2 linked regions of the Struthio camelus genome follow. The protein of the gene in region 1 purifies or fractionates together with the protein of each later gene. This does not show direct contact. Links are inferred from orthologs where the notes say so. Each region holds a gene or a part of one and is shown in the gene's direction. Other genes may lie near its edges. The genes, in order: ABCE1 and LTO1.

Region 1 (12,531 bases):
AAAGCTTTAATTCTCTGGCTTCACACTTCTCTCCCTCTCTATACGACTTATTTCCGTGGTTCCACATATATGCAAAAGTCTGTCTCCCTAAGAATTTGATGCACTCTTGGAACATTCATAACACACATTTCACTTTTATCATTCTCATTCATACTGAGAATTACTTAGGGTTTCAGGTTTTCTTAGGTTTCTCTCAAAAATCAAAAAAGCCCCTGTTGATTTAAAGGCCAGCGCTACATATTTGTTTTTTCCCTGCACTTGTGAGGTTCCTTTTAATTTGCAAGTTCAGAAGCCTATACAGAAGCTAGAGCAAGCCAGTCATCCTGAAGATATTTCTCCTTAATTGCAGGAAAGCAAAGTTTAAACAAATCATGTGGTCCCTAATTTGGTAGGGAGAGGTTATTGATGCATTTATCCACAGTCCATGTCTTTAACTTCACAACTTCATCTGGAATAATTAACCTGTAATACACATTGCCCAAGTAATCACACTGAGTCTTTGTGCCTAAACTACCACCACACATGTTGTTTTTCATTTACTATGGAGCACCTTCTACCTAGAAAATAGTTTAAAAAATAAACAAACTGGTTTTCCCCCTCAAAGGATTAGAAAGGAACAAACTCTATGCAAGGAACTACATTAAAAGCCTAAAATATAAATCACTCAAGAATCAGGAATTTTGAGTTGACTTCTAATCCTTTGCTTACATGCATGACAATACATTACACCCTGCTAAATTGCAGAAAGAGGTCTTCCAGTACTCCTGCTAGATAGAAAGTGAGGTACAAAACTAGTCTGGTATCCATCTAGGCCTCAGCCACTACAGAAATGATACAGGTCAGAGAACAAACTAAGGATTCTCCACAGAAGAATAGCTCTGCAGCTAAAACTTTTGGGTAGGACACAAGAAATCTGAATTCTGTAGTTTACATCTTTGTCTGCACGAAATATCTTCTATCTGGTTCTCATTTAAAAAACACACATTTTTCTCGTTTTGTAACACAAAGTTAAGATAGACTTCCGGTTCTGTTGTGACTCACTCACATTCAAGGTTGCAGTCATGACTGCCATTAAAAAGTCCAAAGAAATAATTACCTATGTTGTAAAAAATAAGGACCGACAACAGCAAATATCACAAAAGATCGTTGTTTGAGCAAGGCCTTCTGTGGCCCCAGAAAAATGGGCAAAACTTCACACAGCTACTAAAGATCTCACGTATATACTCATTTAATTCATACACATATATATACACACACACAAATCTCTAATTGGATGTGATTAAGAACTTCATGTAATATGACATTTTGAAGTCTTTTCATTGTGTTTTCCTGCAAAAGTGTTTGAAATCAAACAGCATTAAAAAGCCCTAACAATTAATTTCACCTTTCCTGTACTAGACACTACCACATTAATCTTCAGTAGCCATCATATTTAAATACTGTATTATTCGTTTTTAAAGCTCTAACAGGTATTTAGAATAGCCCCTTTTAAATGTAGCTGTTCTCTGTTGTATTGGCTACACTATAAACATGTAAATCCATAGAATAGACTATATAATAAAAGTGTTTAACTTACTCTAGTTGCAAATTAGTACAAGTTTAAATCTGTTGACAGCAGTTCCAATAAAATACCATGCTCATCAATTATTCTGATCTTCTGAGAATTTAAACCTCTCTCAGAAAAAGTTACAAAATGCTTTAGTTCAGTCTTTTGTTATCCTAGTAACCAAAATATGCTTATTAAGCATTGAGGAAAGACTATTTTCCCAAACTCATGAATTTTAAAGCTTAAATCAACTAACTATCCAGAGTCCGCATTGATTATTTTGTGCTTTTGTGATAAAGAACCAGAGAGGCTGAGCTGCACTTATTTTAATTCTCATTTTCATACAGAAACCAACATTCCTGTTCTTCCCATTTCTAAAAATATACATAGAAAATTTAATCTTGCAGATTAAAGCTAAATTACCAGTTCAACACAAACTCTTTAATATTACCACCAGCAAGTCTTCCTATTCCTTTATTTCTCTTGAATCAGAAATATTAAAAAAACTCCCAAGTTTCAGTCACATCTGTGATCCTACAAATAGCTATTGTCAGATTAACAGAAAAACAACCTTAAGACTAAGAACTATGCAAAAGTATTAAAATAGGGTAAGTCATAGAAACCACATTATTCACTTGGGCTACCTCAGAAAGCTGATTACTCATACTTAAAAAAATATATATATACACACTGAAATTTTAAAGCATTCAGAACCTCTGAAAACCGTGACGCTGAGATATCTTATAAGCTTCAAGACACAGAGAAGTCCAAAACAACTTAACACCGCTAAGATTTATACTTTATGTATTGCACTGGTCCACAGACTTTTGAGGCATACATTTTGCAGGCCTGAAATCTACAATGAGAAGTATGACCTAAGCTTCTCATTTTCACAGCCTGAGCTTGCTTCCTTCCAACAGGTAAAGCTACTAAACAGCCAAATTTCAACTCCAAACCACTGCTGGCAAATAAGCCTGCCATAGATCACGCACTAGAAATATGAAAGACTGAAAATCATTAGTGTTTGAAGTAACAGTTTGAACTAATCAGGTCAGTTTTTCCATGACTGAACTTCTGGTTAACCAGCTTAGCAAGCAACAATACATTCTGGATAGCTTTGACTCCTAATACACCAGGAACTCATAAAGCAAGTGAGCCAATGAAAGTACAGGGAAAATAGAACAGCAGCAGGCCCACATACTCCAGTAACACATTTTGGCTTTTTACTAGCAGAGGTACAAGCTCTTCATTTTGGACAAGATGCTAATACTTCGCAATAATAATAAAATCACATTTGCATCTGACTTAAGTCACCAAACAAAAAAAAACATTTTCTTAGACTGAAAATATAATAGAATGAGAATCAGCTCCAGGCTGTTAAAAAAGTAATCCGTCTAGAAGCCTTTCTCCTTGTCTTTGAGATATGCTAGAAAATGCAGAGACACTGCCTCTATAGAAACACTGGCTGGGAACATCTCCCATTTTCCAAACCAGTTACTCCTAAAGACTACTATTAGGCTTGTTGTTTCCTTAATGAAAATGTGAATATTTGATTGTGTTGTTAAAACATTAAATGTCACACTTCCATTGTGCCACCTTCTAATGTGCCACACACCCATCTTTTGATTAAGGTAAGAGGAGGGTTGGGCTTCCTCCCTCCCCCAACCCTTGATCTCTCTATCCCTCAGCATCTTCCTGTTTCCTTCCCAAAAAGGGGATATGTTTGCTCTTTTCTGGAGGACATCTCTGTGAAATAGTATTCATGAAAGAAGTTTTATCAAAAGTAAGGTTTATAAAGAGAGTGAAATGGAATTTACTTGGTTCAACACAGCTACTTTCCACAATCCAAGCTAAAGTCATTCTCAGTACACCAAGAGAAGATACACTTAAAAGGTGTATATCTCAAAGCAAACCCCTTGCTGAGCACATACACGCTCTTCTGCGTCACACTGAAGAGATGAGCAGGACACATGTTGGTTCTTTCCTGCTAAAGCTCCATGCAAATCCAAGTGCAAGGAAACTTTTGCAGATTTAACAACCTTGGCGAATAGTCAGCTTCAGTGTTTTGTCATCCTAATATCCAACCCAAGTATTATCCTCTAAAAACAAACATTTCCTCTTGTGTTCTATAGGTAAGTCAAAGATTAGTTGTTCACTAACCCTTATGTAACTTAGATATCTAAGGACCACCACTAGATTTGCTCTCAGTTACTTCTCTAGATTAAGAGTACCTATTCCTTTCAGGTCTCCCTCACAAGCAGTCTTATGAACCTAGTATTTTTGCAGTCTAGAGAGCTACACACTACAATTAAAAACAACAAAATTTACCTTCCCAGTCTTTATATATAATCACATGTGCTAACAAATGCCAGAGAAACATTTATCTATATGAAACAGCATCAAATTACTAATATTTATGCACTCTAATTCTCAGGTGCTTTTTGGGGACCGTTTGCTCTTCAGTAATACCCCTTCCACTAATTTTACCTTTGATTTTTCCTGCTTGTGTTCAAGTCTCAATTCTTGTCTCTATTGAACTTAATCTCACTGACTTCAGACCAGTTCTCCAACTTTTTAAGATCATTTTGAATTTTGACCCAGTCCTGCACAGTGTTTGCAATCCTTTGCATTTTAGCAACATTCACATTTCATGTTTACTATTGAAGAAAACTGAATAAATACACATTCAAAACAAATCTCTGGGAGGATGCCTCATGACATCCCTGCTTAACAGGGAATTATTTACAAGTCAGCTTTAGAGAAGCAATTTTTCAAGCAGCTGTACACATCTCAAAAAAAATAACCGTGGACCACATTTCAGTAACTTGTTAAAAACAACGCCAACCAAGACAATGACAGAGACCCTGTGAAAGTCAAGACACACCACGTGTATTGCTTCTTCATTAACTACATTGGCTACTGTCAAAAAATAAATAAGTTTCATCCAGATTGTTCTTAATAAAACAAAGCTAGCCAGGTTTCTGTTTGCTTTTTGTTTTCTCAATTGTCTCCTACTTGCTAAAAAAAAAATTCTACTCCCCTACCTCCTCCAGGATCTTCCAGAGGATCAAAGTTAGGCTCACTGATCCATGATTTCTCATATTTTCTGTTCTTGGTCTTTAAAAAAAGAAAAGGCCACGTTTGAACTTCTATAGGTTTCAGAGGCTTACTTGACTTGCCCAAATTAAGATAATCTCCAACAATTCAGAAAAATACTTCAGCTAATTCCCTACGTTTTCTATGGCGAGTTTTTTCAGCTCTTGCCAACTTTAATTTCTCTCTTATCCCGCTAGCTCCTTTCTGATTTTTACCTGCACTCCCATTGTCTCATTACATAGAGTTTTAGCAAGTATCTGACAACTTTTTCATCAAGACTGAACAAAGAAGGCATGGACTCCTTCTGCCTTTTTGCAATATCCATGGTTCATATAGCAGTTTCCCTTATCCTTCCTAACAGGAAGGAATTTCACACCGTTGCTTTCCTGACTTTCATACTTGTACTACTTAATGGTACTCATTTTATCCCATATGTACTTTTCTTCCCCCCTCACTGCTCTCACTTTCTTTGTGTGGTCCCTTGTTGATTTTAAGGCCTGTAAAGCTCCAAAGATACATCCAGAAAGTAGCATCTTACCACATTTCCTATTTTTCCACTTAAATGAAAGAAAAACACATCAAGTGTCCAGTAGCAAGCTATTTCAATAACAGTCACCTCCGCTGCACATTTCATTCCTCAGATACATTTATTAGTACTTACTATTTTTATTCTGACTTCACTATATTGCTTTGAGCCTAAGAGCATGAAAACGGCTCAAATCTCTTGTGCAGTTGGTGTCACGGCCATATATGTTCTACCAAAATTAATTCAAACAATTACATATCAGAACATGAGAACATTAACAATTTTTTTAAATATATCCCTAATCAATCTTATTAGACGTATAAAAGACATTTTTACACAAGTTCAGATTTCAGAAAAGATTCTGGGAAGGATACAAGCACTTCTTTAGGTATGGTTAAAAGCAATCTTTAAAAAAAATAAAACAACTAGAGGACAAAACCATCTTTGACAAATGAAGTTGCTTTCACTCAGGCCTCTTTGCTAGCCCTCTAACGTCTACATAGGACTTTTATTTTGATTTACGGTTTTAACGATAATTAATTGTTTTTAGTCGCTCCACTATGATTGTGTTCCCTAGCCTCTCGAAATATTTATAACATTGGAAATTAAGCAGCAGCACCGACTCAAGACATCAGTTGTGCTTAACGGCCAAATCATATTTCCTCTCTCTCAATTTGGGGGGAGGGGGTGTCTTAGTTTAAATGCATAAGCAAACACACATGCACTAAACGAGAAATACAAAGTACCTATTTATAAGTGAACCCCTATATCTAGCCGCTAAACGCTCTAAAGCTCAAGCAAGCACACCGCATAAGAAAGCAGACGTTTTGCCCGGGCACCGCTACAGCTTCAGCGGCTGCCGTGACACCAGGAGACGAGACACGGGAGAGGAGGGGAGCCGCACCCCCTCCCCCCAGCCGAGGCTGGCTCAAGGCACCGACGAGACCAGGAGATACGCGGCGAAATCTCCCCCGCGCCACCGGGGCGTAGCAGAGCGGCATCCCCACCTGATTCTCGGTGACTGCTGCGGCGGCGGCGTCGGGGATAGCAGCGAAAGGACAAGACGGCCCAGCGCCACACGGGCCCCTTCAGCGGCGGCAAAGGGCAGGCAGAGGCCGCCACCTGCGTGAGGACCCGCAGCTCACGCAGTCCCTTTTAAAACCGCCAGCGGCTCCCGGGCTCGCGCTGACCGTTCAACCGCCGCCTGACCGCGCACGCGCAGACCACTGCGCGAGCTCGGTTTAAAAGAGAAAGGCCGGGGGGGGGGAGGGGGGCGGAGCGCGCTCGCAGGTGCCCGCGTGCACCCGGTGGGGGGTGGCGCGCGCGCGCCACAAGCGCCACTCAGCGTGGCGCAGGGGAAGGGGCGCAAGCAGCAGCGGCCCGGTCCCCCCTCACGGAGGACGGCAGCGAGCCGCAGCACTCGAGGAAGCCGGGCGGGGAGCCGCGCCGGCCGACACCCCCCACCCTCCACACCCGGCCTGTAACGTGGCACCGCCCCTTCTGAGGCGGTGTCACTCGGAGATGACGTCAGCCCCCCGCCGCCGCCGCGTCCCTGCCGCGCTTCCGACGCCAGCCCCTCCCTTCCCTGCAGCCGGAGGCGCCGCTCTCTCTTTCAACGTGCTCCGTTTCTCTATGGTGAGCCTCCCGCCCTTCTCTTTCCTCTCTATGGTGCGTGGCCCAGGCCCCTCCCTGCGGGGCAGGCGGCCATCTTGGCCGGGTGGCGGCGGGAGCACGTTGCGCGCCGGCCCGCGGACGACGCGGCTCCGTTCCCGGCTGGAGCCCGGCCGGGGAGGAGCGGCGGCGGCGGCGCCCCCTTCCCCTCCCGGTAAGCGGCCCCCGGAGGGAGCGGCGACGGCCTTGCGCGGGGGAGGGGGGGAGGAGGCGAAGGGGCCGGGGGGGCAGAGGGGGCCCCGGCCTGCGGCTTCCCGTGGCGCCGGCGGGGCGGGCCCGGCCCGGAGCGGGGAGCGGGGCCGACGCTGCTCCTCCCGAGCCCCCAGTAGCGGCCAAAGCGGGGCTTTTCTGCCTAGCCCTACGCTGCCTGTGCGGCCTGGTGCCTTCCCCGGGGCGCAGAAGCATCTGTCTCTGTGGGGTGGGAGGTCTTGCTCTCTGCAGCTGGAATTGCCCCTACGTGGAGTTGGCGTTTTCTGGCGAAATACGTAGAGTCGGTCGGTTTTTCTTAGCAGCCTTTTTTTGTTGGCTCTCTTTTGCTATGCAGCAGCCCAGTGAAAACAAAAGGGGGGGGGGAAATCATTGTGTGCTTCTGAGAGTAGCCGTAGGGATTGCTTGCGTGTAGAGACCCCTATGCAGGCTTAGTGCCTGGAAAGGGAAAAAGCAGTGTTTTTTTTTTTTCCTGAAAGTGAGGAATTTCACTGCTGGAGGAAAAAGTCATATTTTGCCATATTTCCAGAAAGTTAAAATCCGTATATGTGGTTGTGTAGTGAAGAGATTAAGACGTCTTGCAGGTTTCACATGGTAATAGGTAGGGCTGTTTTTTCCAAGATGAGTGAAAATACAGGAAGGGATTTTCAGTAGGACCTTGGTAGCGCTTCCTCTCTGGAATGCACTTAGCTGCTTCACCTGCAGGTTTCTGTGACAGTTTTCAGGTTCAAGATTCTCTTCTACCGTTTCCTAAACTGTTGTCCTAAGAAAGTGATCCTTAAAATACTCGTTGAATTTTCATGTGGTAGATGATGTTGCTAACTTATGGGCTTATTCTTACGCGTTTCTCTTCATGTTAAAAGGAAATACTAAGGATTGAGTGATAATTAATTAATACTCTTCAACACCAGCTAAGCATACCCACTTATTATGCCACATCAGCGTATTTGGGCATATGGTTTTCCGGTTAACATTGTTTTTATATTCATGTTGTGCCTTGTAAGCAATATGTTGAGGTAAATGCAGTAATGATTAAGAGATTTGGGGCTGATTTAAAACTTCTCTTTGCACAACGTTATTTTAGTTTCCCAAAGAAACATGTCAGAGCTAGTAGACTAGTTCTTAATTCTCGGTAGATCCTTGTTTGCACTTTTAACATTTACTGTTATTTCTGCTCTGGGCTTTATAAATGTACTCCCTTATATGATAGCAAGAAAACAAATTTTCATGTCTTTCACTTAAATTTTCATTGGGTATCTAATCTGTAAGTTTCTTGCTCTAGTTGTGACGTAACTGGATATAGTGCTTTAAAGATGGATTGAGAGATGATTCTTGAGGCTAATGATTTTCAGAGAAAAGTGTAAATGCGTGCTATTCATCCTCCCTCTTTTTACACTACTTATCATTTAGATCTGATGAGATGCAATTAATTAAAATTTTCGCTGCTTTTTCTGCAAAGTAACTAAAGTATCGCTCGGTTCTGAACACACGTCTCTCCTTCGTAGCTTTTCCTTCATAATTGAAATGTCTTCTCTCTGGTTATGCTTCAGTCTTCATTGTCACTGTTAATGTTTGCATGTTTAATTCTGATTAATAATTCAGAGCTATTACAAGTTGTCCTCTGTCATAACTGACTTGATTCAGTAAATTGCATTGTGCTTTTCTGGGAAAGAAAAAATAAATATGAGTATTTCCTAATGCAAGGACTTTAAATTTCTCCCATGGATTATAGATAACTGCTGCCTTTTGTGATAGCCTGCGTGGGTGCTTCCCCCCCCCCCCCCCCCGCCCCGTGTGTCTGAGATAGCAGTTGCATCTGAGAGCATAAGAACATTGACTTACAACGCTTGTGATAACGTTTTCTGTGTTCCTTATTTTTAAACCTGCTTTATTTGTATTAAGTCATAATCAGACTTAATGGGCAGCTTTTGGCTTCAGTAAATGATATTGTCAAAGATTTAAAACTTTATTTTGCTAACATTTGTTATTCTTCCTCACATTCTTTTACCTGTGTCACCGCTCCATTGTTCTGGAAAGATTTCCAGTTGTGTTTCTATCAGAATTCGCTAATTCAAATTAATGTATTACTCTGTAATTAGTAACAAATTAATATATTTGCACTTTGTTTTCAGTTCTGTTCTTCTTGGTTTGGAAAACAGAAATATAGAATTGAATTTAAACACTTCTGAATACCAGTTTCTCCTGCCCTTAAACTGCTGACTCTACCTAACAATTACTGGTATGCTGTATTGTAGCATATACATATCGTATGTGTTGCTGACCTATATTCCGTGCTTTGAGAGTTCCACTGTCTGCCCTGCGAAATCGAACAGTCCTTTTTGATGTGCTAAATGCCACTGAAATAATTGTATATAAATATGTAACTTGAGCTCAGTCTGTTTTTAGACGGTGTTTTTTTAATTGGCTTGAAGCTATAGAAATTTAAATGAGTTTTGGATTTTGTTGTTTTGTTTGGGGGGAGAGGGAGCAATACAAAGCTGCATTTCTTGTGGACAGTTATTATCCTAGACATTGGGACTTCTATCACTTCTGCAACAGCATTATTTCCAGAGAAGTCACAAAATATTGTCTTCTGAGAACAACTTAAGACCCCTCATAGAGTTTTTGATAAACTGGCAATTCCGTTGAGTAGATGGGAACAGGGAGGCATGAGTGACTGTCACCATACCGGTTCAATACTTCCATTTCCCTCTTTTCTTCTGTTTTCCCCTCTCTATAAAGTACTTGGCGTACTTAACACCTGTGACTTGTAGTCCCTTCAGAACTCTCTGCCACAGATAAGCATTTTCCCTGTATAGGTAAGTTAAGTAAAGTTTTCCATAAGCAAAGTAAAAAGTTCCTGAGCTGCTGTATTACTTACTAACAAAGGTCTGATTCAGCAAGGGGTAATAGTGTAAACTTTAGGGGGGGGGGGGTTTCCTGCCAAGGCTGGTTAAAAAGTTCACTGAGGTAGGTGGCAAAAACTAATTGATTTAAGCCATACTTGACTTTGTCTTTTAGAGCAACCCAGCCACCCCATTCTCCTCTTTCAGTGCTTTAAGATAAGATGCCAGACTGGAAGGTGAGATGGATGAGGACTGAGTTTATGGCCTGATCTGCTATCTGTACTGCTTAGGCACTAATCTCTAGTGCAGGTTTGGGATGTTGTGTGGAGGAGGTAAGCTTCTGAAATTCGGCAAGTCTGTCTACTAGTGCTTGCTTTTGTGGCTCTTAGAAACAGCCTTTGTGCTAATGAAGAGCTAAGATGACTAGCAGGTAAAGTCCTGCCCAGGAGATAGACCAGTATGATCTGGCTGCTCAGTGTCCTCAGCCACAAGCTTTGCTGGAGCTAGGGCTGACCCAGGTTAGGCACCTTGCCTTGGAAAACCAAAGAGGAAGTGGGTGATCCACCTTCTAGTACCCTGTGCAATACAAACTAGGGGACTCTTTTCATACCAGTGAAATATGTTCCCTAATCGTTCTTTGTCTCAGTTGAAACGCTGACAAAACCCAGTGTTCTAGTCTTCTAGAAGATCACCCTGACTCAGACCTCCTTATAGGTCTCCCTCCTTAAGACCTCCTTCCTCCTTAAGAGGAAGACTTTCCATTTCTTACTTTTTTTTCCTGTTGAAAATGTATTGAAGTGAGAATCGTAAGCCTATTATCCCATGTCCTTAATGAATGTACCAGCCGCTGCGCTGTGGAGTCAGTCGGTTTTTCTCTCCTTGGCCTGTTCTATGGATGCAGTCACAAGTGCAGCCCTACTTTATCAGTCTATTCTGATCATAGAGAATTTAAAAAATATATATTTTTGAAGGTATTTTTAAAATAATCCTATATTTAAAAACTTCGGTTCTTGTTATTAAGACTATTTTAATATGACGTAAGCTGCTAGGAGAAGAATGTAAAAAACAAAAAATGTTCAAATATTGGAAGTAGAGACTATCGTAGTAAGAGTTGACGGCATGACTAATAATTGCATTCATTTATACCTGATAAGGGATCTTTAGCCATTAAATTAAAAATATGTTTGAAATGGAAAAAGGAGGTGAGGCTGCCACTTTCTAGAAGGATGCACTTAAAATATTGGTAAGTATGGAAATAATGGATCTCAAGGCTCAATAACATCTTAATTTCTGATCTTTGCTCCCTATTAGATAGATGCCGGTCTCTTTTTTAATTTCATAATACGCTGGCGTCTGCAGGATTCCTTCCAACTGTAGTTCACAAGTAGGTTTAGGGATGGATAGTGTTTAATGAAATAAGCGTGCACCATATCTCTTCTTTCATACATTCTTGCTTCTTTCAGGAGACTGAAAGTCATAACCTTTCTTCATATAATAGGCATACATAGTAAATGATCTCTAAAGCACTGCAGGATACTTTAGTTTGTTGGGGCAAAGATGGGCTGTACGCCCACTAGAAAAGACTTTAGTAAGAACAGTTGGAATCCTTCTCTGGGAAGAAAGACCATGCACAGATTGTGTGGAAACCTGGAGTATTTCAAGACTCCTTTACCAGTCGTGTCTTCGAACTACTGATACATATCGCATTGAACTGAAATGATTTTGAATTGGCGTCATCTGTATGACTGCCATCATTTTCTTTAGGGGTCTTAAACTGAAACTGGAGATGGTTTGCACGTGTTGGTGATCTTTCTTTAGACATAAAAAAAGTCTAGTTGTCATCTGTCCCAAAGTAACATCTTGTAAACTTCTGATAGCCTCATAATTCAGTTATTTTCTGTATTCTGAACCAGGAGTAAGTGGAGGGCATGGTCCTTAGGGGTGAATTGCTCTTGCAAAGATAAAATCTTAACTATTATTTTCAGTTCTCTTGTGAATATATTTACAGTCAAAAAAGTATCAGAGCACCGTAGGTAAAAGAGTCTTTATCTGTAAAGACTTAAAACTAAAAGTATTTGCCCTCCTCCCTTCCCCCTGCTACAATTAATGACCTCATAAATTCCCAGTGCAATGCAATGCTTGTAACTGTGTTATAGATGTCTAAGCAAGGCAACAGACGGTTGCGTGGAGGAATGCAAGTCATAATTTCAGTTTCTCAAATGCTTTTATTTGTAATTTCAGGAATATTTAATTTCATAACATTTCGAGAGCTCTCTCTTCTAAAAATAGCTTTAGAAAGCACCTTGTTTATTTTTACTGGAAACTATTATAGTCATTGATCCTATGTTAGGAAATGCAGCATTTAAGCGTCGTTATTCAAATACAAATGAAGCTCATTTCTATCAAACGTTTTCATGGTATGTCTGTTCCCACTGGCTGGATTATTTTTCTGTATGCAAATACAAATTTTCACTTTGAAGACTGGATTAGATCTTACATCTGTGAGCTTTGCCAGTAGCAACTTTAGATGGGTATGGCCTTCTCTGTGTTGCCTGTAATCATGATGTTCTCTTTTTGGTTTTTCTGTTTTGTATTGTTTTTTGTTCTGTTTTTGTTTTTTAAGATCTGGAAGTCTCCAA
Region 2 (12,052 bases), on another chromosome or scaffold:
TTTAAGTATTGAGCCAGCCTTTTCCTTACAATGTGTTGTACCTGGAAGATATGATTGTTCAGGAGCTATATTCTAAAGAATTGCCTCCCTATCCATACTTTATTTGGGGGGAAAAAAAGAAGATTAAATAAGAAAAGCTTAACCAATTCACCAGAGTTACTCCGTTACAGTGGTGACGAGAGAATTATTCTAATTTTTCTATACCAAGTTCATTATCACATATGTTCACCTGTTATTTTTGCTCATAGGAGCAAATGTAGCAAATGTTTTTCATTCACAGGGAAGTTAACGATCTTGTAGGTTCATAGGCCTTAAAGACAAACATTTGGAACAACACACGATTAAGGGAGACCTAGCAAATGTGGTTATGTGAACTAAAGTAAACGCTGTCCCTTGAAAAGCTGCTGACAACATTCTGGGAAAACTTTCTATTGAAAGCATACCACTGAAAAACAATTCTGCTTGTATATTGTGTTTCTTCTTCCCTTAAGACATAAGGGAAGAGGGGGAAATATTTCTTCCTTCCCTTATTGCTAAAGGGTAATTTGGAAAACTGGATCTTTGATTTCTTTTATAGGCTAACTTATGTTTACTGTAGGAGCTGCATCATCCAATATAGACTCCTCATTAACATTAGTGAGAATTCTATATATGGGTAAAAGTGTATACAGAACCCAATATTTATGTTCGTCAGGTAGGGAATGAGCAGTACCAACCAATTAGTTTTCAGTAACAGAAGGTCTGTTGTATATAACTATATATGTCTTTAGCAAATGGAGAGAAAGACTGAAAATAGATGATGTATAGGTCAAATCGATTGCAAAATAAGTTTTCATGTTTTACCTTCCAACATCAGCAGTTCCTTTAAGGCCTTCCAGGCTTGATTCTGCATCAGCTGAAATCAATGGAGAGACAGTTTAGTTACTTGAATACTGCAGAAGTGGGTCAGTCATACCATTCACCTTTCAGGGAAAGACTGTGGGTACCTTATGGCCAAGAGGTGCATGTCTGATACCTTCAGTTCAGTTCTCCTGTTGCAACAATTTGACAAAGGAATAACAAACCTGAAACTCCTCCCAAAAAGGAATGTGAGAAAAGGGTTCAGGGATTTTACTCCTTTCCAAAGGTTCATTTATAATAGAGATTTCTATACCAAAAAAACTCTACTGGAAATACTAGCCTTCTTCTTCTGACCTAGCACTTCATTGCCAATGCAATATTTATAATTAATTTATTGAATGCATACATCTGTTTATTTTGTTACTATTATTTATGCTCAAAATTCTATTTATATACTCTTGAAGGTGGATTTTTTTAGTTGTAACAAATTTTGTGAAGTTTTGTAATCATGAAACAGTAGCTTTTTAAATTTCTGTATATTACCAGTAGTGTAACACGTACATTTGCAATAAAAAAAAAATCATCTTCAACACAAAAACCTGGCTGACTCTCTTTTGTAACTCCTTTAGCCTAAAGACTTCAAGGAGCTTCATAAAACTACTGAATTTGGCCCCACAGCACCCTTGTGAAGATGGTGTTGCTGAAGAGGTATGACACACAGGGACACAGAGAGACCGAGCGATTTACCCAGAGCTGGACATTGAGTGCCAATGCTGGAATCAGACTCCATCTGTTCCCAATTACTGATGAACTCTGTGGTAAATAGCACGTATAAGAAAGGTATTTTTACTATGCAAGGGAGAGAGTTCACTAAATTTTGATAATTTAGTGGGTATAAGAGAAGGGCACTTTCTCTTTTTCACTTCTGACCTAATCTTAAGTTCCTATTCTCTGGTACAATGTATAAGGGAAGCTCAGCTCTAAGATCTGTGGGCAGTCGTGATCATGGATGTACACCTATTTTATAAACTATGACTTTTACATTCCATTTATGTCATTAAACCCAGTTTGCTCCGCTTGCTGACATCAGCGTGCTGGATGCTGACGTGAGCGTGAGGGACCTACGGTGTTTGCCCCCAGCTGCTCTACGAGAGATGGAAAAAATCTGCTACAAATGTGATTGCTGCCATCCTTTTCCAGTGGGGGATTCTGCTGCATGGGTGCAAAGCAGAGGCTTGGGTGAGTACAGCTGCTGATGGTTGCAGACAGGTCCAATTTCCAATATAGGCAAAGCTGCATCCTGTACGTCAGTAAGCGCACACCATGGAGCACGCTCCTGTATGACCAACAGGAACTGAACTGTCAGCAGTGATTTTCAGCCAGACTCAGCCCACACCACAAACTCTACCTGTGGATTTTTACACTAGTACATAAATCGTCCACTGGCAAAAAGCAAAAATACTGGGGGTGGAATGCTGCTGCCTCTTAAAAATGGCAGTATACTCTGCAATGCAAGTGGGGAGAAAACAGGTTGTTCTTCCTGAAAAAGATGTTGTTTTCTAACAGGAAATCAAAGACCAAATACTTCAGTTTGGAAACGCTGCATGGGTGGCTCACAGAAACTGTAGATTTATTTCTAGGCTGAAAACATCTCCCATGATGGGTCACGTTCTCCTTTGTGCTGAGCCACTACCACACATCCGGAGGTTTCCTAGTCCTCATATATCGGGAAATGTAGTCCTGATTTTCAAATTGTTTTATCCCAACAGTTTTCAGATTTGGGGCATTCAGCTTTTCGTCAGACACTATATTTTCTTTGAACCCTGGATAATTTTCAAGACCCCTTCATATAACTCAAGAACTAGAAAACAAAATAAAATGAATATGAATATTTTTAAAATTCATCAAAAATTCACTTTTCTGCCAAAAGACAGTTTTGATGGGAAACAGTAAATAAGAACAGAATGCATAGGATACACTGTTTAATTTAAGTGCTGAAAGAATTTTAGGTAGCTTTAATGTCTCTATTTGTGAATATGTGTGTAGAGCACAAAAATGAGCACCCCTACATTCGTGAACAGTATCTTGGGATTTTTAGTGACCCCATTTGCTGACACCTTTGAATTTGCATCTTCCACCAGCAGCACAATGTTTCTTACTGTAACAGCATGGTTAGAGAGGTTGGTTCAATATTTATTCAGACAGAGGGAAGAATGCCAGGAGCTAAATTACCCACACCGCTTCCTGGAGCACTTTAGTTTTCCTTGGAGGTTTCCCATCCAAGCACTGACCAGGCCCAGCCGTTTTGCTTATGAAATCTGACAAGATCACAGCTTGAGGTGGACTGATTACTGGAAAATGCTTTCCCTACCATTAGACACCTGACTAGGTCAGGAACTTGCAAAACCTGTAAACATCCTTGCCGTAGGTTCTGTGGGAATATAAACACCCCCACCATTGCGAATTGCACTATATAAGGCTGGGCTGATCATGGTTTGTCAAAGACAGTAAGTCGATTGCAGTGCTTTCATTTGTAGTAGTACATTTTACAGCCCTAAATTCTTTTTAACATGTTAGGGTGTCGAATGTCTCCTTGTGAAGTCTCAACTGGAAGCTATGATGTGTAAATAAGAGTTGTTAGAGTAGTGAGAAGGCTGCAGAAAAGGAGATACTGGGCATCTCCATTTCCACTTTGGGGAAGTGTAAAAAGCTGTAAATCCTTTATGCAAGGCTCATAATAGCAACGTTAAGTGCTGAAGCTATGTATGTGAACAATCTGGATGGTGCTTCCTATGCTGCCAGTGTGCTTTGTATAGGAACAGAAAATGACATGATAAACTAAACAAATGCATTCTCTTTCATCTAAAACATACAGAAGCCAATCCTCCATTCAGGCAGCTTCCAATGGGATGGAAGTAGAGATGCATATCCCTTGGAAGCGAATGGGAGAGCAAGGAAAGATCTCAGCAGGACTCTGCATTAGGGGTGAATTTATGACATACACTAAGTTTATCGGGAACCCTGTTGGATTGGACTCATTGTTGAAGGTGCAGAAGAATGTCCCCAAAATGGAACTAGCTTTACTGTCACAACTTGCCAGAAAAAAATTATCCTATTTTCAGCATATTCGATCAATCCTACTGCCCACTGAGATCAAAGAACTTTTTGTCTCTAACTTCAAAAACAAGATTTAAATCGTAGTTACTAGCTTAGAGGAAATCTTCAAAGATACCTAACATTTCCACTAACATCAGATGGCTGGTGAACAATATGTGTTTGTGACTGAGAGGCTGTACAGTGGATAGGTGTTCACACCTGGGAAAAACTTTGGTGATTTAGTGTGAGATTCAGGGAAATCTAAACATGAAATTAACAGACAACACGAGCTGGCTGACTGACTACAGTCACTCTAGATAAATCAGCATAGCCTGAAAGACATCAGTATAACTGAATATTGAAATATATGCTTATAAGTAAGTATAAATGTTTACCCTTATCCAGTGTTCATCTGTAATAATAAATAAATGTAGTAATACAGCTGTCTAGAATAGCACACTAGAGTTTGGTGCTGTTATATAAATACATCAAACATATACTATTTGAAAAGCAAAAATGTCCCTGGTCAAAGCAAAACTGGCCTGTACTAGATTCTTGAATTTCTTCTGTTGGAAATTAGTCTTACTTATAGTTCTTTACAAAATGATTTTGTGCTTACAAAACGACAGCTGGGCTGACTGGTAAAGAAACAAAAATTATATCATCCAGAAATAAGCTCAAGAAACGAGACAAAAATTTCATAGGCATTTAAAGTCTTCCTTAGTACTACACATCCTAACAGTTTCATGGGAAAGCAACCAAGATTTATCCTTTCAGTTTTATCACTATTTTTTTCCATTCCACTTCTAGCTCCCACTCCCTCTGTGGTATTGAACTGTTTTCTTAATGCCAAAATGCCAAACCAAATCCCCAGTAATATCAACATCACACTTTTTTTTGGAGTTTAATAGAACTTGGATCAGGGGTTCAACTGCGTCCAAGGCCTGATGCAGAAATTACTGAGTGAGCTACACATCCTGGGTTGTGTGTAGACCAGACTAGATAGTCAGGACAGGTTCCTTCTGTGCCTAAAATGCGTGAATCTAAACATCGTACGCCCTGGCTGTAAAACAGGAAAAATATATTGGCTTTACAAGAATGAGGTTGATAGCTGTTAAAAAGATGTAGTGGTAAATTGCTGGACAAAACCAAAGACAAATATTGGATTAAACAAGCCTTTTGAACAGGCTCTGGAAGCTCTGAGGCTTAAGTATGGGCAGAGGAAGTGATTTCCAGGCAATACCCTTTCTCCGCCTACTGCTGGCAAGGCGGCTCTGAGGACAGTTAGCAGCTACGCTGAGTATATATCAACAGGCTGTAAGAGCGGTGAGCTCTCAGATGGGGCATGGGGCAGTTCTTCTGCTTTATTGTTTAGGCTACACATTGCTTTTATGAAAGATTTCTGCTAGCATAATAGGGAATAACTGACATATTGGGTAGCAAAACTGAGGCAAGTCATTACTTGAAAAAGAAAAGGTTGGGCATTTTGTTTGATTATTTCTTTTCCAGGAGAAAGAAATATTCCGAAAACCTGAAAGCAATCCAGTTCAATATTTATCTAGCTCAGGTTCCAGGTTGGAAATATTTCTTCCTTTCTTCTCTTTCTTATAGTCATTTTTCACTCATAAAAACATTTATGTTGCTATACTGGTTGTGCTGCCATGAACGATTTAGAATCAGAGCTGATAGCTTTATCAGTCAATAAATAAAAAAAAATTGAGCTTTACTTGTAGAAGTATTCAAGGAGTACCACCACACAGGACTCAAAGAAAGACATTTGTATTTGTTGGGCTGGAGAACAGAAAGAGGTGATGCCAGAGAAACATGAAGAAAAAAGTGGTTCTACAGAAGATCAGAAAGATTTTACTGGACGCCAGGACAGACAGACAGACAACTAATACTTTTGACGGGTATGTGCAAGTTAATCAGCTCATGGAAGAAGCTGGCTACAAAACAGAGGTCTGAAAGCCTTAGAGAAAGCGTGACCCAGTGAAGTGAACTGAAAGGATAAGAAAGAAACACTGCAGTCATATGGTATAAACAGTTTCCCTCTCTTACTCATCGTGGCCTAACAAACAAACATGACAAATGAAAAAAATCCACCGAATTTTAATTTTTAGGAAACACATTACAAGCGTTCAAATGGATCACTTAAAAAAAAGCAAAGTAATTTTGGGAAATCAAGTCTACAACTGAATCCAGAGCACTGACTTGTACTTGGGGGCATCCAGCTGAAAATGACCTTATTTCAGCACACCTGCACAGACCTCATTGCAGGGATTTGAGACTGCTTTATATAAGCAAGTCCTTTGGTACAGCTGTCGTTTTGTAAGTTCTCATCTAGAAACCAGAACCAAGGTCCACCTTGGTGCGAGATGGTGTTAGCTTCCCTTTGAACATTTTATAGAACTTGGATAACACAGTATGCCTCTCAGCCTTCATAATCCACCTCCTCAGCCAGGAAGGCAGTATTCAAGATACCGACCTGTTTCTGTTTTCGTTTGGATGAAACATTTCCAAGCGGCTTTCGGCAACTTTTCGCTACATTTGGAGGATATCAGAGCTTTGGCCAAAAACCTTAGTTAAGCACCACGTCTTAAATTACTTGAGACCGAGGGCGGCTAGTTTTCTAGTAACAAACGCATCTTCCACCCACCTAGCACAGCAGAGAGGCGCTTTATCCCGCGGCGGCCGCAGCGCTTTGGCGCCCCCTGGCGCGGCGCGGCCTGCCTCGCGGCCGGCCGTTGGGGCGCGCGCCCCGCCCCGCGGCCGTTAGGGGCCGTTAGGGGCGGCCGCTAGGGGCCGTTAGGGGCCACCCGCGAGAACGGGGCCGGCCAACGGCGCCGGCACCGCGAGGCGCCGCCGCGGCCACTCGCACGGGAAGGGACAGGCGGGCGCCGCCGCCGCGCCAGGGGCGGCGGGGCGATACAGTCCCGGCACAGAGCAGCCGGCGGCACGGGGAGGGGGGCGGGGCGAGGGGGCGGGGAGGCCCCGCCCATCGCGCACGCGGCACCCCATTGGGCCACGCCCCCTCGCGGCTTGAGGGCTGGCCGCAGTCGGGTGGGGGGGAGGAGCTTTGCGCGCCTGCGCACTGGAGCCTCCCGTCGGCGGCCCCTGCGGCTTGCCGTCCTTTCCCGGCATGCTGAGCGGCGGCGGTCGAGCGCGTCGAGCGCGGAGCAGAGTCTCGGGCTGTCACGGCGGGATGGCGGCGGCCGTTGCGCCGGGCGCGGACATGTTTGACGACATCGTGATGGCCGAGGAGAGGTGGGGCCGGCGGAGTGGCCTCGGCCTGGCGGCGGAGCTCGGGCCGGGGTGGGGGCGGGCGCCTCTCGCGCCGCAGCTGACGGTCGGCCGGGCAGGGGGGGCGGAAGGCGCTGAGGGGGAGCGGTGCGAGCCGGCGGCGGGCAGCGAGCCAGGGAAAGGGCGAGGGCGGAGAGCAGCGGGGCAAGCCGTCTTCGTCCTTCTTTCTCCCCGAAGGGCCGAGTCCCTCGATGTCAGCTCTTCCCCTGCGTGCGCTGCAGCACTTCTGTCAGCGCTCGCATGTTTAAAATCCCGCGTTTTAAAACTTGACTCGGACTCGAGAGTTTATTAGCTGTGCAAAAAATAATAGCTAGTTGGTAAAAGGATTAAGTTGGATTGCGAAGTGCCTTGTTTGTGTTAAAATGTTATAAACTCGTTTGAAAACACCTAGATGTTCATAAATGCATGTTATTTGAAATTAATGCTGTGGGGTACTTCTAAATAGGAAACTTGTATTACTGAAATGATAAAGAATGTTTTTTGACCGTGTGAGTTGCTTGTGTTTGATATGAATACAAGCATTAAAAACTGTACTTCTCTTTTTGTAGGTTTCATGGTGAGGGGTATCAAGAGGGATACGCTGAAGGCAGCCATGTTGGAGTTATTGAGGGAAGGAGGTATGGATCACTCCACGGTGCCAAGATTGGGTCTGAGGTAAATGGGAAAATTTTAGAATCACAAGAAACTCACTGTAGCACAGAAACTGTTGAGCAAAGCCTGGTATGGTAGGTGGTAGCCTGAGGCCCAAGGGCTCCATTCTAGGATCATTTAAAGCAATTTGTTTTAGATTGTGCTGAACCAGTTGATAGCATCACATAGGGAAAAAAAAAAAACATTGAAAGTATTTAGCATTTAGGAGATGAAAATTGAATACATTCCATAAACTTCATTGACGTTATGCACTTTAAATTGTATAATGAGGAATTTTTTTTGAATGAGACAGTCCATTTACACTCTCTAGTCATAGGTACATAGGCAGAATGTCTTTTTTTAAATTATATTGCTTTGTATGTGTCCAAGAGGGCCCATAAAACTAGTTTAAAGGTGATGTTTTGATTTGAACGTTTTTAACGATGGTTTCACATTTCCTGAGTTTATTGGCTGTATGGAATTCTGAATTTTTTTTTTCTTTTGAAAGGGAGGAAGAAAGGAGAAAAATATGAACAAAGTCGAAGAAGCTTGCTCAGAACAAACTGACAATGCATGTAGTGTTTATTTACTTTTTATAACACAAAACAGGCTAGAGGCCCTCCTGGGTCATCTGTGGCTCAGTGTAAGACAAGTAGAAGATTCTCAGTTAGTCAAGACTTGACTCATCAAGGCTTCAGGGAGCTCAGATATGAGAGAACCGACAAAAGCATGAAATGTTGGTTCTCCACCCAGATTGCCTCATAAAGGGGGAAATTATGGGTGTCTCAGCTGCACTCTTATTTCTAATACTGGTAGTGTTTGTTGGCTGAGGTACAATTATTTTTCAGTAGGTAGAGTCAGCTCCATTTATTGCTAGATTCACATGATGCCATGCCTGACTCAGTAAACCTTCCTGAAAATGAGTCAAGGTGTCTCAGTGCCACTCTGTCATCTTGTCCGTCCAGCTCAAGTCTATAATGTTGCATGTTCAGTGCTGCATAATGTGGTTAAAGTATTTTTGGACCTGAGCTGGTCTTTTTCAAGTTCAGCTTTGATGTGGAAGCTGTACTACAGGATTCTTAGCAGGGCTTATTTCCAGTACGGCACCACAAATCTCAATCTGTTTGGTCTGTTTGAAGCTCCTTTGGTAATTTTACAAGCGCTCTTTCAGGTTTAGGAAGTTAATTAACTGGAAAAAGAACACTGGCAATGGTGTTGGTGCATTATGAGGTGAAAATGGTAAACTGTAAAAAATTCAGAAAGATGTCTATTATAAAATTTTGTTTTACGTTTGGGCATGATACGGAAATGTATAGTGATGTACTGTTTTGCTACCTACACTACAACTGTGGCGTTCCAAGAAGATACTGTTAGACAGTAGCCCCAAAACTGGATGCCTAAGATAAAAGTGTGATAGAGGAGTGTTCTAACCTATTAATATAGGGAAGTTCTGGAGGATGGTAAGGTTGTAGGCAGTCATGTTAAATGAGTGAGAGATTGACCTGGGTAATCTTAGATTTCTCAGCCTGTTATGTGTCTTGAGCAAAATCACAGATCTGTTACTGGCCTTGCCAGAGAGAGAATTAAAGGAAAATAGCGTAATTAAAATGTATTACAATGTATCCGTGTAAGATCACATCCCTCAGAGGGGCTTAGAAAGGGTATGGCTTTGGGCTCAAGCAAGAGATTGGCACTGCCCCCCCTCTGGTGGAGCTGTGCTAATTATGCACAGAAGCCTGCTGCTGAGTGTCCAGGGGCTAGGTGTGTTTTACGACAGTAGTTTGGGTTTACAGCTGTAGTACAACTTTGAAACAAATCTGTCAGTTGTCTCCATTTACCTTGGATCTCTAAGCAGTTTTGGTGCATTAAAATTAAATTGCTATTAGAAGAAAATAAACTGGAAGCTTCACTTGAAATATGCTCCAGCACTTAATGGGATATTAATCCTAAACTTATGTTTGGGCCTCATGAAGGACCTCCGCTGTGTATTTTAACAAACATAGGCATCCCAAACGCTCCTGCTGTACTCTGAAGTTGGTTTGTCAGCTGCAGGAACTTCCAAGTCCTACAGGGTTTTGTTAAGTTTAAAGGTCAGATGTATGTACATGCACGCATACAGACCAGTGTGGGATTAGGCAGCAGTTTTGGACTTAAGCTCCTCAAACTCAGCTAAATTTTGCTTTAGGTGTCTGCATCGTTTCTCTACCAACATTAAGTCACTTTTGAAAGGGACTCCAGCTATCTCGTCCAGCAGGTGCTTTGAAAAACTTTATCTACGTTCCTATTTCATTTAGTATCCAAAGTCATAGTGAGAAGTTCTTCTGGCAGCAGGGCTAGCTTCATCAGCTCCTTGTGCTTCTTTCTGACTCCATGCTACTGTCTTCAGTTAGACTAGTAAAATTATTTCAATCATACTCTCAAAAAAGATAATTTCCTGCTTCAGTTAACTTGGCTGCTCCCTCATTTGAGCTGGTACAGGTGTTTGTGGGGGCTATTTGCTGGCACTGCTGCAAAAACCAATCTTATCCAAGCATCCTAAATAGGCAGGTTGTTTTCTAGTTATATCCCCACTGCTACAGTTTACAGTCATAAATTTGGGAGTTCAAAGCATATAAAATAGGCTAGTGTTTTTCAGAATTGCTGTTTGTGCTGTGTTTTAAACTGTAGTACGCAACTTCAAGGACTCAACTGTTACCCTGCTGTAATTTACTGAACTTTCCAACACAGAAACTTATTTGTGTATCCAGTGATTTGTTTCCTGAAGAGTGAGCTAGAATGCAATGCTTTTTTTGTTTGTTTGACTTTGTGCGTGTGTTTGTGTGTGTATATCCCCCATGGCATTCTTATAAATTCACAGGTTGGCTGCTACCTGGGGTTTGCACTTACATGGCGGTGTCTGCTCCACAAATGCACAGATGAAAAGAACAGGTAGGAATAAAAATAATTGTTATTCCTTTAATATTGATTCAAATTAAGGTGTCTGGTTTTGGCCCCCCCAGTATCAATAAACAGAAGGAGGGTGAGCAGAGGGGCCACTGGGGTGTTATCCTGTGCTGGGGCATATGATACCGAAGAGAGTGTAAGGGAACAGAGTTTCTTCATCCTGGAGAAGAGAAGACAAAGGAGGTATCTAATTGTACTACGTAAGGGGAAGTTCTAGATAAGATGGAGACAGAGTGTTTGCAGAGGTGCACAGTGAAAGAACAAAAGGCAGTGTTTACAAGTTGCAACAGGTGAAATTCTGATAGGAGGTAAGAAGGAAGTTCTTCCCAGTGTGGGTGGTTAAGCCCTGGGACAGATTGCCCAGAGAGGTTATAGGAACTCCATCCTTCTAGACTTTCAAAATATGATTGGAGATGGCCGGGAGCAACCTGATCTGATCTAGCTTTGAAGTTAGCCCTGCTTTGGGCAGGAGGCAGACTAGATAACCTGTAGACATCCTTTTCAACCTATGTTTTTCTATGACTTCTGTGGCTTTTTTTCTCCAAATGGAGAATAATGCATGTTTATAAAGTAGTAATAACACTCAGCACTTCTACGTCACTGCAGTCCAGTTTGCTAACCATTAACAGAGCACTTTTTCATTATGTAAAAGCTGTGATGCTGACATATGTAGCAAGTAAGGGTGACTTGTTAACCGCTACACAATATTCTTGACTGGAAACTACAATAGATCTTTGGTGAGGAAGTGCCGAGGTTGTACTTGTCTGGTTGCTAACAGTTGATGGTAGAGTTGGACCGCGCCTTCAGAAGGTACTGCGTGCAGAATCCAGCTTATAGGCTACATGCATCTCCAGCCTATAGCTAACTGTAGCTGGCTTGCACTGTGCTTTCACTGAGTGATTTGTATACTTTTGTGCAAAATTTGTTACGATGGGGTGTCTTGTCCTATCCGTACGTGTGCGTTTGCTATTGTTGATTCTATAGCTTCCATAAGACTGCTGGCAAAGAGTAGATACTGTTCCTCTAAAAAGAAGAAAGATATAGTCTTGCATTATCTTGGGCCTTATTCTAGTAGCTTACAAATCTGGTGAAAGTGCTGAAGTGGTTTGTTAGATTCTGTGCCTTACAGAGGAAAGTACTATATGCTTCATGGCATTCGGAAACTCTAAACGTATTTAGCTGGACAAGAAACCGGCTCCAGGTTCATTTTCTGAAGATTAAATGATTTATTTCCTAAGGATAC

Evidence for each region.
Region 2: the proteins of ABCE1 (region 1) and LTO1 purify together in Homo sapiens (affinity purification with mass spectrometry; 4 studies listed by BioGRID and IntAct, with this or other methods). This does not show direct contact. The link is inferred for Struthio camelus from reciprocal best matches to the Homo sapiens genes ABCE1 and LTO1.

What each region holds. Positions count from the first base shown.
Region 1 is NC_090945.1:34,595,415-34,607,945, forward strand, and holds the start of ABCE1 (ATP-binding cassette sub-family E member 1), read left to right. Parts: upstream 1-6,429; 5' UTR 6,430-6,803; exon of another isoform or gene 6,804-6,993; intron 6,994-12,515; 5' UTR 12,516-12,531. UniProt on the Homo sapiens protein: Nucleoside-triphosphatase (NTPase) involved in ribosome recycling by mediating ribosome disassembly. Able to hydrolyze ATP, GTP, UTP and CTP. Splits ribosomes into free 60S subunits and tRNA- and mRNA-bound 40S subunits.
Region 2 is NC_090946.1:32,662,135-32,674,186, reverse strand, and holds the start of LTO1 (protein LTO1 homolog), read left to right. Parts: upstream 1-7,005; 5' UTR 7,006-7,075; coding exon 7,076-7,200; intron 7,201-7,784; coding exon 7,785-7,890; intron 7,891-10,723; coding exon 10,724-10,794; intron 10,795-12,052. UniProt on the Homo sapiens protein: The complex LTO1:YAE1 functions as a target specific adapter that probably recruits apo-ABCE1 to the cytosolic iron-sulfur protein assembly (CIA) complex machinery. May be required for biogenesis of the large ribosomal subunit and initiation of translation.